3 linked regions of the Caenorhabditis elegans genome follow. The protein of the gene in region 2 interacts with the protein of the main gene of each other region in a pairwise test. Each region holds a gene or a part of one and is shown on either strand. Other genes may lie near its edges.

Region 1 (5,000 bases), on a different chromosome or scaffold from region 2:
CATTCTTCATGACTCTTTTGTTAGGTGAATTATAGATTTTTAATTTTTATAAATTTCTGAATTTCCAGCCAAGAAAGAATGCGTGACTATATTGACAAATGGGCACACGGTGGTGTTTCCGATAAGTTCTGTTGGTGGGCTATAAGTACTCATCTCGAATTGGAAGTAGAAGAAGTGATTGATCGACTAATTGTGGAGTTTGTTGAAGCTAAATATGGACCTAAATTGTTAGAATTTAGACATTCTAAAGGTTTTATATTTCTTATTTTCAGCTGTATTGCTGAAGAGAACCCGAAAAAGCCGCAACCAGTGCAAACTGTAAAAATGGTAAGATATGTAGTGTACAGCGCCTTGGATCCAACAAAGATTGCACATTTGTACATTCGGGATAAAATGGTACTCTTCGCGAATACTGGATGTGCTCCAAGAATTGACGAATATGGATTAATTACTTACAGAACTAGATCAGGAATTAACGAAACTCAATTCTAATTTTTTTTTGTATTTTTTGAATTTCTCTGATTTTCCGTGAAAACATATTATATTCCTAATTATCTCTTCATAAAATTGCATGGAAAAAATTGTTATAGTCTTCTTTTGTAGCCGCCACGTGCTCTTCCCGTCTTCTGTGGAAGTTGGTACGTGATTTTCAGCATTTCCAGTAATTTCACCAGTTTTCCTTTTCCAATCCTTCCAAGTGGGCCGTCAGCTTTCTCTAGACGAATCAACATTTCTTCCTGAAAATTTACAATAAACAAAGAGTTGTGGAAACTTTGGAATCTAACCAAGGATACAGGTTGGAGTGAGAGAATGTGCTCATGTAAAACTGTATTCTGATCACTTCGAAGCCATGTTAAAAATGCCAATTTCAATGCACTCAAGTCATGTTTGCCACTGGTACTGGAAGCTGACATATCATCATCATCTTCTTCATCGTCTCCAACGTCATCACCGCAAATTTTTCCAACTTCTCGCTCGTCATTTGATATATTCAATGTTTTATCACCATCATTATCTTCATCCAGATCATCGGAAACATTGGATACATTTTTGGAAGTTTCATCTGAAACTATTATATAATATTAATATCCTTCTAAAGCAACTAGATAAAATGTCTAGCAATTTTTCAATTTAATTGAAAATGAATAAACTCACCAGAAATAGCATTCTTGACTCCTTGCTTTTTAGGAGAAACTTTCTTCGGCGATGCAATCATTCTTTCACTTAATGTCTTCGTCTTGATTGTTTTCCTTCCACCCTTTCCTCCTTGTTCCGAAACCTTTTCTAAACTTGCAGATCTGACAAGCGGACGAATTGTAGGTGTTCCTGAGCAAATTTCTGGATGTAATGTGATATATGCTTTCTTCAGAATCTGAATCATCGCTTTCTTTCCTTTTGGCCGCATCCCGATCTCTTTCATTCGTTCTTTTAATTCTGCTTCTTCCATTGAATCGAATGCAGGCATTGGAGTTATATCATTGGTCTTCAGAATTTTGACATGGGATCCGAAGACAGCTTTTGAGGTAATGTTGCGGATTGGAGTAATGACATTGGATGTAGTTGGAAGATTTGTAGACGGTTGATTGCTCCATTCATCGAATGAATCCATTGTCACATTAGTAGTTGGTTTCTGTGGAGTAGAGTGTACTGATTCATGTGGTTTATCTTCCATGATTTGTTCTGCATCATCTTCCACATTTTCGACAGCTTTTCCGAATCCAAAGAAAGGATCATCAGATGTGAAGTAGTTCACAGATTTATCAAGTTCGATTGGGTCGCTATGAGACGCAGTTGGCTCTATTTCTACAGGATCAGCTACTACAGAATCTATCTTAGCTTCAGGCTCTACCACGTCCTCAACATCATCGACTTTCTCAAGATCTTCCTCCTTATCATTTTTCACAATCAAGTCTAATCCTACAGGTCCATACTTCGAAGCCAAATCCCTCACACCATCCTTATCATCATCATTCCATTCGATATTTGCAGTGAATACAAATGAAATCCATGCTTTCACAACTTCTTTTGTGTGCTCGACTTGAATATTTTCAGATTTAGGGTTCAGTCTGATAAGTGATGTCCGATGTTTCAAGATCATTGTCTGACATTTTACACGATGACCATCACTGCAGGTAATGAAAATGTGAGTTGGTAATTGTTCAGAATTGTCATCAAGAACTTTTTGCATGTCAGATGAGAGTTGTTCGTATCGGGAAATCTGAAAAAGTGATTTTTTTTAAATTATAATAAACTAGAAAATTACTTTTTCAATCATTTTCTTCATTTGAAACGCATGCTCAGTCACTCCTTCCTCTCGTTTCTTTTGATTTTTGATAGATTTACTGTGAAACTCGTCAATAAATCTTGAATGAAGTGTCGTAAGAACCTCACATTGACACTTTTTCGGTGCCAATTCCACAACTGCAAACGATCGAGGACGCTTCCGTTTTCGGTTTTCCTCATCATCCTCAGCGATTCGTGCAAATTTCACGTTGTTCTTCGATAGCTCCCATGATTTTGGAAGTTCCTGTGGTTTTTCGAAAGGTTTTTCAAATAGATGAGTCTTTGAAGATGGCTTCTCATAAACTTGATCATCTCTGAAATATGTTTTTGCATCACAGAATATCCTTCTACTGAAACTAACTTTTCTATGGTTTCGGTGAGTGTTTTCGATTTTCTTGTAGTTTCCTTCTCCTTCTCTGATTGTTTCGCTTTGCAAACTTTTACATGAATATCTCTAAAATTTGAACAGTGAGAAGAAACACAAATAATATTTCAAACCTTCTGGAATTCATCCAAAGAGTCATATCTCGTGCACACGTCGCACATTTTACAGGTTTCTTAGCCGGTGCTTCTTCATCATCGTCGCTCAGTGTGATCTCTTCGAAAGGAGAAGGAACATCTCAAAAAGTAAATTAATTGATTTAATTGGGAAATTTGATTTGAAACTTACTTTTGTCAGATTCATTTCTTACAATACTCTGCACACTTCCAAGTTTTTGAGGACGCCTAGAAAAAAAGACAGATATTTTTTAATTTACGTTTAGGTTAAATAGATACGACAGAAACAAAAACCTTACTACCTTGGCGCGGATGAGATCGAGTTTTGGGACAGTGCCTTTTTTAGTGATGAATCATTCATATGAGTAGAATCTAGAATACTTTTTTTTCTTCTAAAACTGAATTTGCAATTCTTATTCCAATATCAATTGTGATCAACGCATTCTACGTTTTTTCGTGATGATTTAGCAGTGATTCTGATTACGAAATTTATTGAGTAAACAACAAAAATGGTACTTGAATACAGAAAGAGCTCATGAACAGTATGACTGCTTGAATAAATATTTTGATAGATATATAAAAATGTTTGAAAAGTAAAAATCGAGGATGAACGGATTACCGAAATCAAAACAAATTATGTGGGATTAAGACAGATGGATGTTGTATTCTATAAATTAAAATTAGATCATCGTTGATAGACTGGAACAAAGGAAACAGGATTGAATGTGTCTGATAAGGTGTGGGTAATAAAGAGAATAAGATCAGGGTTTTCAGTGATAGCCGACGAATTGAGGAGGATAGTATGGAGCTGCTGGAGGAGCACCAACTCGATACTGTGGAGCCGGGATCGCAGATCGCCTTAACTCGATGGGAGGCTCGTGGAAATGGCGTTTGAACCAAGCCATCATTCGATCTAGCGTATCAAAGTTTTGATGTCGGAATCGGACTCCATGTGGGACAACTGTAAACAAAAATAGTTGAAAACTTTGTTCGTATCTCTTTTCGAAACTCACTTTTGAAATATTCATGTCGAATCCGTTCTGTATTATCGAACATATAAGAAATACAGAATTGGCATGGCTGTCTGTAGGATGCACTGAATACGTACGGAGATCGTCCCAGCTCTCGTTTCTTCTCTCGTACAAATTGCTCGACTGCTTCTGTTTCTTCGCATGTTCCATTTGGGAAGAAGTACTTGTGAGTTGTTATCTCGTGAGAGATCTGTATCATCGGTTGAACGAATCGAGCAATCAACTCATCAAGATCCTCGAAATCTTCTCCGCCGACTGAGAGTTGCCGACCAATGGAGAAAACTTGATCCTTTGCGGATTCTTTGACAAAGAAATTGTGATAGACGCGGTCACAAATCTTCCATGTCACAGAAAGACCAGAATCTTTATTAGCCGATGGACGAATAATACACTCAGACCAATCCATTTCATCCAACATTTTCGTAGCAGCTTCGTAGGATACATTATGGAAATTTGGATGCGCAATTACTCGCTTCACACGTGTATTTGCTTCTGTCTTCTTTTTCGATTCACTCTTCATCAGTTCCAAATCAGCTTGGTATTGATGCTCATCCCAGTACTGATCACGTTGAGATAAATCATCTTCTTTCAGATCCGAACTCTTACAACTTAGGAATAGTGAGAATCTCTCCTTGTCCAACTTGAGAACTTTGAAGTAATATGGCTGATTTATCTTGACTCGGGTTAATGGATTGTCTACGTGACTTGATGAGATGTTCTTGTTCGGACAGAATCCAGTCATTCCATTGTCAAATCTGACTCGAATTCCGACTGGTGTTCCAGGACATCCACCTTGACGAGACTGAAATAATTTAACATTGGTTAACGAATAGTATTAGTTGAGAAAAACTTACGTCACCGAGCATATGTTCTTGAATTCCACCAGGAGCCGAAGATGTGAACGATTTACAACATGGACAAGTGAAAAGACCATCTTCTCCAACATCAGGTAACATGCTGTCTGCTGCATCTTTGTCAACTTTACGGTACTGCACAGATTGAACTGTTCCCAACACTTTAGCTCCTTCCTGCAAAAATAAAAATAAAATCGACAGAATTATTACAAGTAACATACTCTAATTTCTTTTCCTGAACGAGCCAAAAGATCATACAAAAGCTCTCCGGTAGGTTCTTGGAATGGTTGCCGAAGATCTTTATATCTCGCACTCAACTCGCTTGAGATGTCAT
Region 2 (4,723 bases):
CCGCTTGCCGTCGTGCTAACGAAGAAGAAGCTAAACGACAAGAGGCACTTGCAAAGACGAAATATGTTTGGGCGATTGCAAAGTCAGAAGCTGGAGAGACGTATTACTACAACAAAATAACAAAAGAGACGCAGTGGACAGCACCAACACCAGTTCAAGGTCTTCTCGAACCGGCTTGTGGTGCATCTCCTGATACTACAGTTGTCATTGCTGACGAGATTACTGAAGAAGAGCAACAAGCTGAAGTTCTGGAGAAGCCGCGTGTTGTTAAGGAAGAAGTTATCGAGCCAGGTTCACAATCTGAAACTCAAAAAGAATCTCCGGAGAAAGTTCGAGTTGTTGTACCGAAAGTTGAAGTTGAAAGATCACCGTCGCCAAAATCTTCTCGTGATCGTGAGAAGGATCGAGAGAAATCTCGTGAGAAAGATCGTGAAAGAGATCGTGACAGAAGAGAAGGTTCAAAACATCGTGATAGTTATCATGGACATCGAAACGGCAGCAGTTCTGTCAGTGAACGACGTATGCGAGAGTTCAAACATGAGCTGGAACGATCCACTCGATCTGCCGTTCGTTCTCGTCTACAACATCAACGTGACGCTTCTAGTGATAAGACTACTTGGCTTATTAAGTTAATATATCGAGAGATTTTCAAACGAGAAAGTGCGCAGAGTGGATTTGATTATCGATTCAGTGAGAATACTGATAAGAAGGTAATATTATGGACCAAAAAATAAACAATTGAAAAAAAAACCAAAAAAATCTGATGCTTGAATTTAAAAAAAAACAATGAAAGAGTGCAATTTTTTAGGTTTTTTGGTCTTTTTTTTTGGAAAAACCAAAAAATAAATTTTTTTCCAAAGTACCAAACTTCATTTTAAAAAATTTTATTTGACATAAAAATTGATAATTTAAAACTAATTTGAACATTTTTCCGCAAAAATTATAGATTTTTCTGCCAATTTTAGATTTTTAACGTTTTTTTTCGGACAATTAATGTTTCGAATCATCAATCAGAATGAATATGATATCTGATGAAATTCAAAAATAATGCAATTTAAATAGAAAACGGTACAAAAGTTTTGAAAAATTTAGAAGAATTCTAAAAAAAATCCTGTCCTTCAGGACAAAATTCAACCTTTTTCTCAAAACACAAAAATTACTTTATATTATTTTTCAGGTGAAAAACTACGTCAAGTCATATATCGACCGAAAACTCGAATCAAACGATCTCTGGAAAGAATACTCTCGGCCATGAGCTTTATTTTTTAATTTAAATTTTATAAAAAAATGTTTATGCTTGTTTTTTTCTCTATAGTTCCCTCCTATCCCCCCCCTCCCCTATCGCCTAAAAATTGATCTCTGTCTGATTTCACCGATTTCCGTTTTATTTGATCCCATTGAACGAGTATATCATCATGTTCCTGAACTTCAACGTTCGCACATTTTATTCCCCTAGTTTTATGTCCCCAGAATTGTTTTATACTATCCTGTAATCCACCTCAAAATGACAGCCATGAAAAGCTGTTTTTCATGTTTTCTATTTTCTTGTTGATCGTATTTGCGCCGCTCTTTGTCGCCAAATTTTTTTTTGTAATTAAAAAATGAATTACGGATGTTGAATTTTTAAATTTATTTTTTTAAAGAAAAATTGTGGAAGTTTTTCAGATTCTATACTGCTTATTTTTACGCTAAATTTTTTTTCGAAGTCCCCTTTTTTCAAATCGAAGTGTAACTGCGCTCCACGATCAATAGAGACTCTCCGCCCTCGAACCATGGGTCTCGTTAGGTATTTGGCAGACTTACCGTAAATTCAAATGTTTTATTACTTCGCGACTAATTTTTTTATTCATGACTCAATTTTTTATCAATTCCAACGAAAAACTAATTAAAAACAACGGAAAACATAACGAAAAATGCTTGAAAATTGCAGACATTTCCGAAATTAATTAAATTCCTAACGAGACCCATGGCTCGGGGGCGGAGTGTTTTCGATTAGCCATGGAGCGCGTTGAGATATTCCTAAATTTTTCTATTCAGATGTCGAATCAATCAAAACGGGTCACAGTGAGAATTGAGCATTCGAAGAACACTTTTTTCGAAAAGTAATTTTCAAATTTTGATCCAAAGAAATTATTCGTCAATTTTCAGAGTTTTAAAATTCCAACATCAAGAGCAAGAAGATCGGAAGCTCAAATATGTTCTGCACAAAGCTCACGAGAATCTGAGAAAGTGCCCATTCGAGATTCTGACAATTGTTGATTTGAAAAATGTGCAGGGTATTAATAAATAAAAAAATCGAATTCCAGATTTTTAAAATCTATATATTGAATTTTCAGGAATCGGAGAGAATATTGCTCTAAAATTGGAAGAAACGTGGAACGTCGCCTGCCGAGAGAACAATGGCCAGGATCCAACTCTACGAAGCATCAAAAAATTCACGACAGACGATTATCGCCGGTTCTTAACAAATCGAAAATCAACAACAGAACGGATGAAGGATGCGAAAAGATTGGAAAAACAGAAATCAACGAAAACCATTGTTGATATAGAAAATGAATTCGAATCGGATGGAGATGATGACAAGCAACCAAGTGTTCCACTCACTAAAACGAAAAGCTTTCAAGTTTCGAAGCCCGTCCAGCCGAGCTTGATACGATCACAAAGTGGAAATCTTTCGTCTTCTTCGTCTACTTCCTCATCATCATCTAATTCATCAGATCCATTATCTTTCAGACTTCTCACTTGTCGACCTTTTGAGCAGCCAACTGTTAGTATTTAAATCTAATTTTTGCAGAAAAGGATTCCAGAATAGAAAAAAATCGGCAAGTAATAGAAAATCCAATGGAAAATTAAAAAAAAAAGATTTTTGAACTCCCTCCGAAATGAGAACTGTCCGACCAATCAGCGAATAGCTCCGCCCCAGCAATCAGATGGAGTGGGCGGAGTTGGAAGACGCTTATTGGTTGGCTCGCGAGATTTTGCGGTTTTTGCATACGGTACCCGATCTCGAAGCGACTAATATTCAGGAGTACTGTAGCTCCCAACTCCTAATAAGTTGCAGAAACTTCTGCCATTTTTCATAAGTTTTCGTCCGTTCCTTCGAAATTTATCGAAAAAGATTTTGAAACTTGAACATTTTTGAGCTCGAAAAAAAAACATTTAACAATATTTTTTAAAAACGATTAACAAAAATATGCAAAAATCGTTGCAGTGCAAAAAGTGAAATACCAACAAAAAACCAAATTTTCATCAAAAACCCAATGTTTTGGTGTCGAAAAAATGGTCAGCTATTTACTCCACCTTCAAATTAAAAAAAAACGAGGTATTTTTCCAGGTCTATCTAATCGCAGACAATCGTGAGCATCGCAACAATCCACGTTTCAAGTCGGTAATCGAGCATCTCGTGAAAAAAGAAGATATTCGAGTTGATATTCGTTCTCTTTCCGTTGGAGATTACATATGGATTTGTCGAAAGATTGATGGAACTGAGATTGTGATGGATTGGGTTGTAGAACGGAAAACTTGGGATGATCTGCAATCAAGTATTCGTGGAGGTAGATATGATGAGCAGAAAGGACGATTGAATATGGCTCCGATGAAGAATCGAGTTTATTTGATTGAAGCTCAACATAAAGGAGATGTTGCTTGCGAACAGGTAGAATATAGAATTAGAATCTGATGATTTTTCAAAATTCTAACAAAAATTCCAGGCCGTAGCATCAACTCTTTCCAATGGAGGATATCTTATTCAAAGATGCTCTGATACTCGAGACACAGCTGCATTTCTCAAGGAAGTGACGATTCGTTTGCAGAACAAAGCGGCCATAGAAGAAATTTCGGGTGTTCCATTCAGCCAACTCCAGAATCTTCTCCAGAAAAAGAAGGCGGAAACTGTGAAAGAAGCTTGGGTCCGACAGCTGATGGTTTGCCCGGGAATGTCTCAGAATCGAGCCGAAGCAATTGCCGATCGATTTCCATCCATGGTATCCCTGCTTTCATATTTTCGTGCAAATGGAGACGATGCACCGATTCGACTTCTTCAGCTTTTACCTCAACTAACTAGGCCTATTACTCGTAACCTTTTCAAATTTTTTGTTCAATAAGTGAATCCTGAATGAATCAGAATTAGATTGAATTTTTTATAATTGAATGAAAAATTTTGAAAGGAAGACCAACAAAAACAACATCAACAAGAGAATAACAATGAAAAATGAAAAATTGTGGAATTTAAAATTTTTGAATGGAGACCAAAATCCGATTAAGCGAGATGACTCTCATTTCTGAGATACTCTCCAAGATCGCATTGATGTAGAACGACGAGAGCAGTTGGATCGGCACGCTTACTGTCTGATGTTCCTTTCGCTGACACTCCGAATCTAGAGAAATATATTTAATTAACTTGAATATTAAATGTGAACATACCCCAATGGAACATCGGTCATCGAGTATACGACGATTCCAGCATGAGTTGGAGTTCCGTCGGTCATTCTTGCGATTCCAGACTTGAGAATGTTGTTTCCGTAAAGGAATTGCTGCTCGGCGTTCGGCTTCAGCCACACCTTGAACTTGGCATACGGCGCCAAATAGTCGAGAGCGGTGATTTGGAGATGGAACTTTTTGCTTTTGGTGAACTTTCCCAAGCAAGTTCCAAAAGAGAGAAGTGGCTCACGGGCAATGCAGGCGGCTTGACGCATCAGATTTTCCGAACAGTAATAGACACGTT
Region 3 (4,630 bases), 3.6 Mb from region 2:
ACAAAAAAATTGATAATTTTTTAATTTAAAAAAAAATCACAAAAAATCGATAATTATTGATATTTTACAAAAAAAAATTACAAAAAATCGATAATTATTGATTTTTTACAAAAAATTCACAAAAAATCGATAATTTTTAATTTTTTTCAAAAAAAAAATCACAAAAATCGATAATTATTGATTTTTTCCAAAAAAAATCACAAAAATCGATAATTATTGATTTTTAGGCGGAAAAGCCGAATTTTTATCAATTTTTCAAAAAAACAATCGATAGTTTTAAAGGCGCATGCGCTCTCCTGGGTCTCACAGCGAAAAGTGGATTTTTCAAATTTTTTGGATAAAATTTCGCTGAAAAACGTATTTTTTTGACAGTTTTAAAGGGAAAATTGTCTAAAATCAAAAAAAAATTGTTTTTTCAACAATTTTTTCAGTTTTCGTAAAAATTTCAGTTTTTTTTTCGCGAGAAAAAAACCAATTCTCGATTGAAAAATCAGAAAAAATATTTTGGTATAAAAATATTTTTGGTATTACGATATTTTGGGTCCCACCTCGAAAATTTAGAGGATTTTTCAAATTTTTAAGATTTTCTTCAACTTTTAACAATTTTTTTCGGAATAAAAATCGATTTTCGCTGCGAGACCCAAAAAAAATAGATTTTCTCGAATTTTGCGATGGAACTTTTGATTTTTCGGTGAAATTTTCCAAAAAAATCGCAAAATGTATCAAAAAATCAATACTTTCTGCGTCTCCTTCTCATCGTCGGTTAGTTTCCGTTTTTCGGGTCTCGCCACGACATTTATGTCAGTATTCTCTTGTGAGCTTGAGCACAACGAGTATGAGCTCGTCTGATTCTGACGGATCATTTCGTCAAGATTGAGCATTCCCTCATCCAGCCATGTTTTTGCCGCAGCTGGAATTGCATCCTTATTCACTGCGTCGACGATGGAAAAGCTCGCGGAGTACCTGGAAATTATCGATTTTTTATTGATTTTTTATCGGTTTTTATCGATTTTTTTGATGGGGAAAAATCGGAAAAATCGATAAATTTCGATTGGAAAATTCAAAAAACTTCGGGTCTCACAACGAAAATTGATTTTTTTTCTTGGATTTTCAAATTTTTAAACTTTTGTTGTAACAACAGTGGAAATTTTTCGAAAAAAAATCAATAATTATCGATTTTTTGAAAAAAGGCAATAATTTTCGATTTTTTGAAAAAAAAAATCAATAATTATCGATTTTTTGTGAATTTTTGAAAAAAATCAATAATTTTCGATTTTTTGTGATTTTTTTTCGAAAAAATCAAAAATTATCGATTTTTTGTGGATTTTTTGAAAAAAATCAATAATTATCGATTTTTTGTGGATTTTTTGTAAAAAATCAATAGTTTTCGATTTTTTTTGGAAAAAATCAATAATTATCGATTTTTTGTGGATTTTTTGAAAAAAATCAATAATTATCGATTTTTTTTTGAATTTTTTGAAAAAAATCAATAATTTTCGATTTTTTGTGATTTTTTTTCGGAAAAATCAAAAATTATCGATTTTTTGTGAATTTTTTTTTGGAAAAATCAATAATTATCGATTTTTGTGATTTTTTGTAAAATATCAATAATTATCGATTTTTTGTGATTTTTTTCGGAAAAATCAAAAATTATCAATTTTTTGTGATTTTTTTTTTGGAAAAATCAATAATTATCGATTTTTGTGATTTTTTTTGGAAAAAATCAATAATTATCGATTTTTGTGAATTTTTTGTAAAATATCAATAATTATCGATTTTTTTGTAATTTTTTCGGAAAAAATCAATAATTTTCGATTTTTTGTGAATTGATTTTTTTTGGATTTTCAAAATTTTAAACTTTTAAAATAAATTTTTCCATAGTTTTTTGTTGAAAAATTCCTGAAATTTTGAAATTCAATTAATTTTTTCTTTAAAAAAATCGTTGAAAAATTAGTTTTTTGGAAAAAAAATCAGCGAAAATAGATTTCGCTGTGAGACCCAATTGGGCTCCTCAAAGTCCCTGCGCCTTTAAAATATCGTTTTTTTTTTGTTAAATTTTCCCGCGAAATTAATCAGATTTTTTCTGCGAAAAAGTGAAATTTCTCAAAGAAACTTTTGAAAAATCAATTTTTTTAAAAAGAAAACCCCTAATTTTTCCGTTTTTCCCGCTAAAAAAACATCTAAAAAATTTGAAAAATCCACAGAATTATCGCTGTGGGACCCAAAGTGCATGCGCCTTTAAGATTATCGATTTTTTTCAAATTTTTCAATCGAAATCAGGTTTTTTTTTTCAGCAAAAATCATAATTTTGCGAAATTAATCTGATTTTTTGTGCAAAAAATTCAAATTTCTCTTTTTTTACGTTTTTTCGCCAAAAAAACCATCTAAAAAATTCGAAAAATCCAGAGCATTTTCGCTGTGAGACCCAAGTCCGTGTGGCTTTAAAAATATCGATTTTTTGTTAAATTTTCCAATCGAAATTTGGCTTTTTTTCCGGTAAAAAATCATAATTTTGCGAAATTAGTCTGATTTTTTGTGCGAAAAAGCGAAATTTCTCATAAAACTTTTGAAAAATTGATTTTTTTTTTCTGGAAAAACCTATTTTTGTCGTTTTTTCGCTAAAAAACATCTAAAAAATTCGAAAAATCCCCAAAATTTTCGCTGTGAGACCCAAGGCTCCTGAAAGTCCCTGCGCCTTTAAAAATATCGATTTTTTGTTAAATTTTTAATCGAAATTCGGCTTTTTCCGGTAAAAACATCAAAATTTCGCAAAATTAATCTGATTTTTTCTGCGAAAAATTCAAATTTCTCATAAAACTTTCGAAAAATCGATTATTTTCCGCTAAAAAATCATCTAAAAACTCGAAAAATCCAGACAACTTTCGCTGCGAGACCCAAGTCCATGCGCCTTTAAAAATATCGATTTTCTGTGAAATTTCTCACAATTTCTCCAAATTTCCCGCCGTCACATTCGTCGTTTCCTCAATCATAATACAGTCCTCATCATCATCATCATCCGAGAGGACTACAATCGCCTCGTCCATCTGAATAGTGGGAAAATATCGATTTTTTGTAGAAAATCATATATTTAAATTGATTTTTTTACAATAAAAAAAATTTTGGGGATTTTTTTGGAAATTTCGGGTAAATCGTGTAAATCGTGTAATTTAAATTCATTTTTGTTTCAAAAAGTCAGGGGGGGGGGGGGAAAGAAAAAATTTTTGACAAAGCGTGGAGCGAAAAAAGGAGTAAATATACAGTCGCGAAAGAACGATCGCTCCGCCAATTTTGCATGCGGCAAAGGGGCGTGGTTTATTGGGGGCGGGATTCCGGCGCAACCCTGCGGCACGCTTTTTTCTCGCTTTTTTCGTGCGGTAATTTTCAGTTATTTTTATTCGTTTTCTGTTCGAAATTTCACGATTTCGCTCGATTTTGTTCGTTTTTTCGGATAAAAAAGTGTCCAACTATTTTTTAAATGAAAAATAACCAAGTTTTCACAGATTTTACCCGAAAAATGCTTTGTTGGTCTCTCTTTCTGTAAATTACGATTGTTAAGAGAGAAAATGGGGGAAAAAAAGGAAAATGTGAAGAGAAAGCGTTTTTTTAACGTTTTGCTTCGTATATTACAGAAAAAGAGACAAACGAAGCATTTTTTCAAGTAAAAACTGATAAAACTTGGTTATTTTTCATTTAAAAATAGACACTTTTTTATCCGAAAAAACGAACAAAATCGAGCGAAATCGTGAAATTTCGAACAGAAAACGAATAAAAATAACTGAAAATTACCGCATGAAAAAAGCGAGAAAAAAGCGTGCCGCAGGGTTGCGCCGGAATCCCGCCCCCAATAAACCACGCCCCTTTGCCGCATGCAAAATTGGCGGAGCGATCGTTCTGTCGCGACAGTATGTAACATGTAAGGTAACAAGGTGGGTTGGTTTTCATGAGAAAAGGGGGATTTTTTTCCGATTTTTCAGGTGCAGAGCCCACGCTCTCCTCAAAGCCGAATAATTATTAGAGCGCGCTTGCAGCGACTCGCGTTTCTGCATCCGCGGTATTTTGACTTTCCACTGAAGAAAGCAGATATTTCAGATTTATCGAATTTTTAGGTTTAAAATTTTTTTTTTCTGTATTTTTCGAACAAACCTTTTGTCAAACAGTAAAAATCGAAATTAAAATGACTAAAATGAACTTTTTTTGTCCACTGGTTGTGAAATGGTTTGAATTTGAAGAAATCAACGGGGTTTTTCGTATTTTCTGAATATTGTTCTATTAAAAATTGGTTTTAATACATTTTTGACTTAACATTAGGGTCAAAAAATGGTTTAAAACCGATTTTTAATAGAAAAATATTCAGAAAATACGAAAAATCCCGCTGATTTCTTCAAATTCGAACCATTTCGCAACCAGTGGACGAAAAAAGTTCATTTTAGTCATTTTAATTTCGATTTTTACTGTTTAACAAAAGGTTTGTTCGAAAAAAACAGAAAAAAAAATTTAAAAGCTAAAAATTCGATAAATCTAAAAAAGCTGCTCATTTCAGTGGAAAGGCAAAATACCGCGGATGCAGAAACGCGAGACGCTGCAAGCGCGCTCTAATAATTATTCGGCTTTGAGGAGAGCGTGGTGCAGA

The links.
Region 1: the proteins of mus-81 (region 2) and him-18 interact in a two-hybrid assay, tested with the Caenorhabditis elegans proteins (one study listed by BioGRID).
Region 3: the proteins of mus-81 (region 2) and eme-1 interact in a two-hybrid assay, tested with the Caenorhabditis elegans proteins (one study listed by BioGRID).

What each region holds. Positions count from the first base shown.
Region 1 is NC_003281.10:4,712,036-4,717,035, forward strand, and holds him-18 (SAP domain-containing protein), read right to left. Parts: upstream 3,154-5,000; 5' UTR 3,143-3,153; coding exon 3,084-3,142; intron 3,010-3,083; coding exon 2,954-3,009; intron 2,903-2,953; coding exon 2,782-2,902; intron 2,738-2,781; coding exon 2,645-2,737; intron 2,598-2,644; coding exon 2,264-2,597; intron 2,219-2,263; coding exon 1,156-2,218; intron 1,064-1,155; coding exon 786-1,063; intron 738-785; coding exon 585-737; 3' UTR 545-584; downstream 1-544. Other genes in the region: T04A8.18 (F-box domain-containing protein), read left to right, coding at 1-24, 69-227, 273-492; emb-5 (Suppressor of Ty 6 homolog), read right to left, coding at 3,552-3,742, 3,795-4,614, 4,667-4,840, 4,888-5,000.
Region 2 is NC_003279.8:4,263,072-4,267,794, forward strand, and holds mus-81 (Crossover junction endonuclease MUS81), read left to right. Parts: upstream 1-2,037; coding exon 2,038-2,102; intron 2,103-2,148; coding exon 2,149-2,276; intron 2,277-2,336; coding exon 2,337-2,767; exon of another isoform or gene 2,768-3,334; coding exon 3,335-3,655; intron 3,656-3,710; coding exon 3,711-4,103; 3' UTR 4,104-4,167; downstream 4,168-4,723. Other genes in the region: met-1 (Histone-lysine N-methyltransferase), read left to right, coding at 1-710, 1,178-1,255; C43E11.9 (60S ribosome subunit biogenesis protein NIP7 homolog), read right to left, coding at 4,259-4,376, 4,423-4,723.
Region 3 is NC_003279.8:626,401-631,030, forward strand, and holds the start of eme-1 (ERCC4 domain-containing protein), read right to left. Parts: upstream 3,045-4,630; coding exon 2,944-3,044; intron 964-2,943; coding exon 738-963; intron 1-737.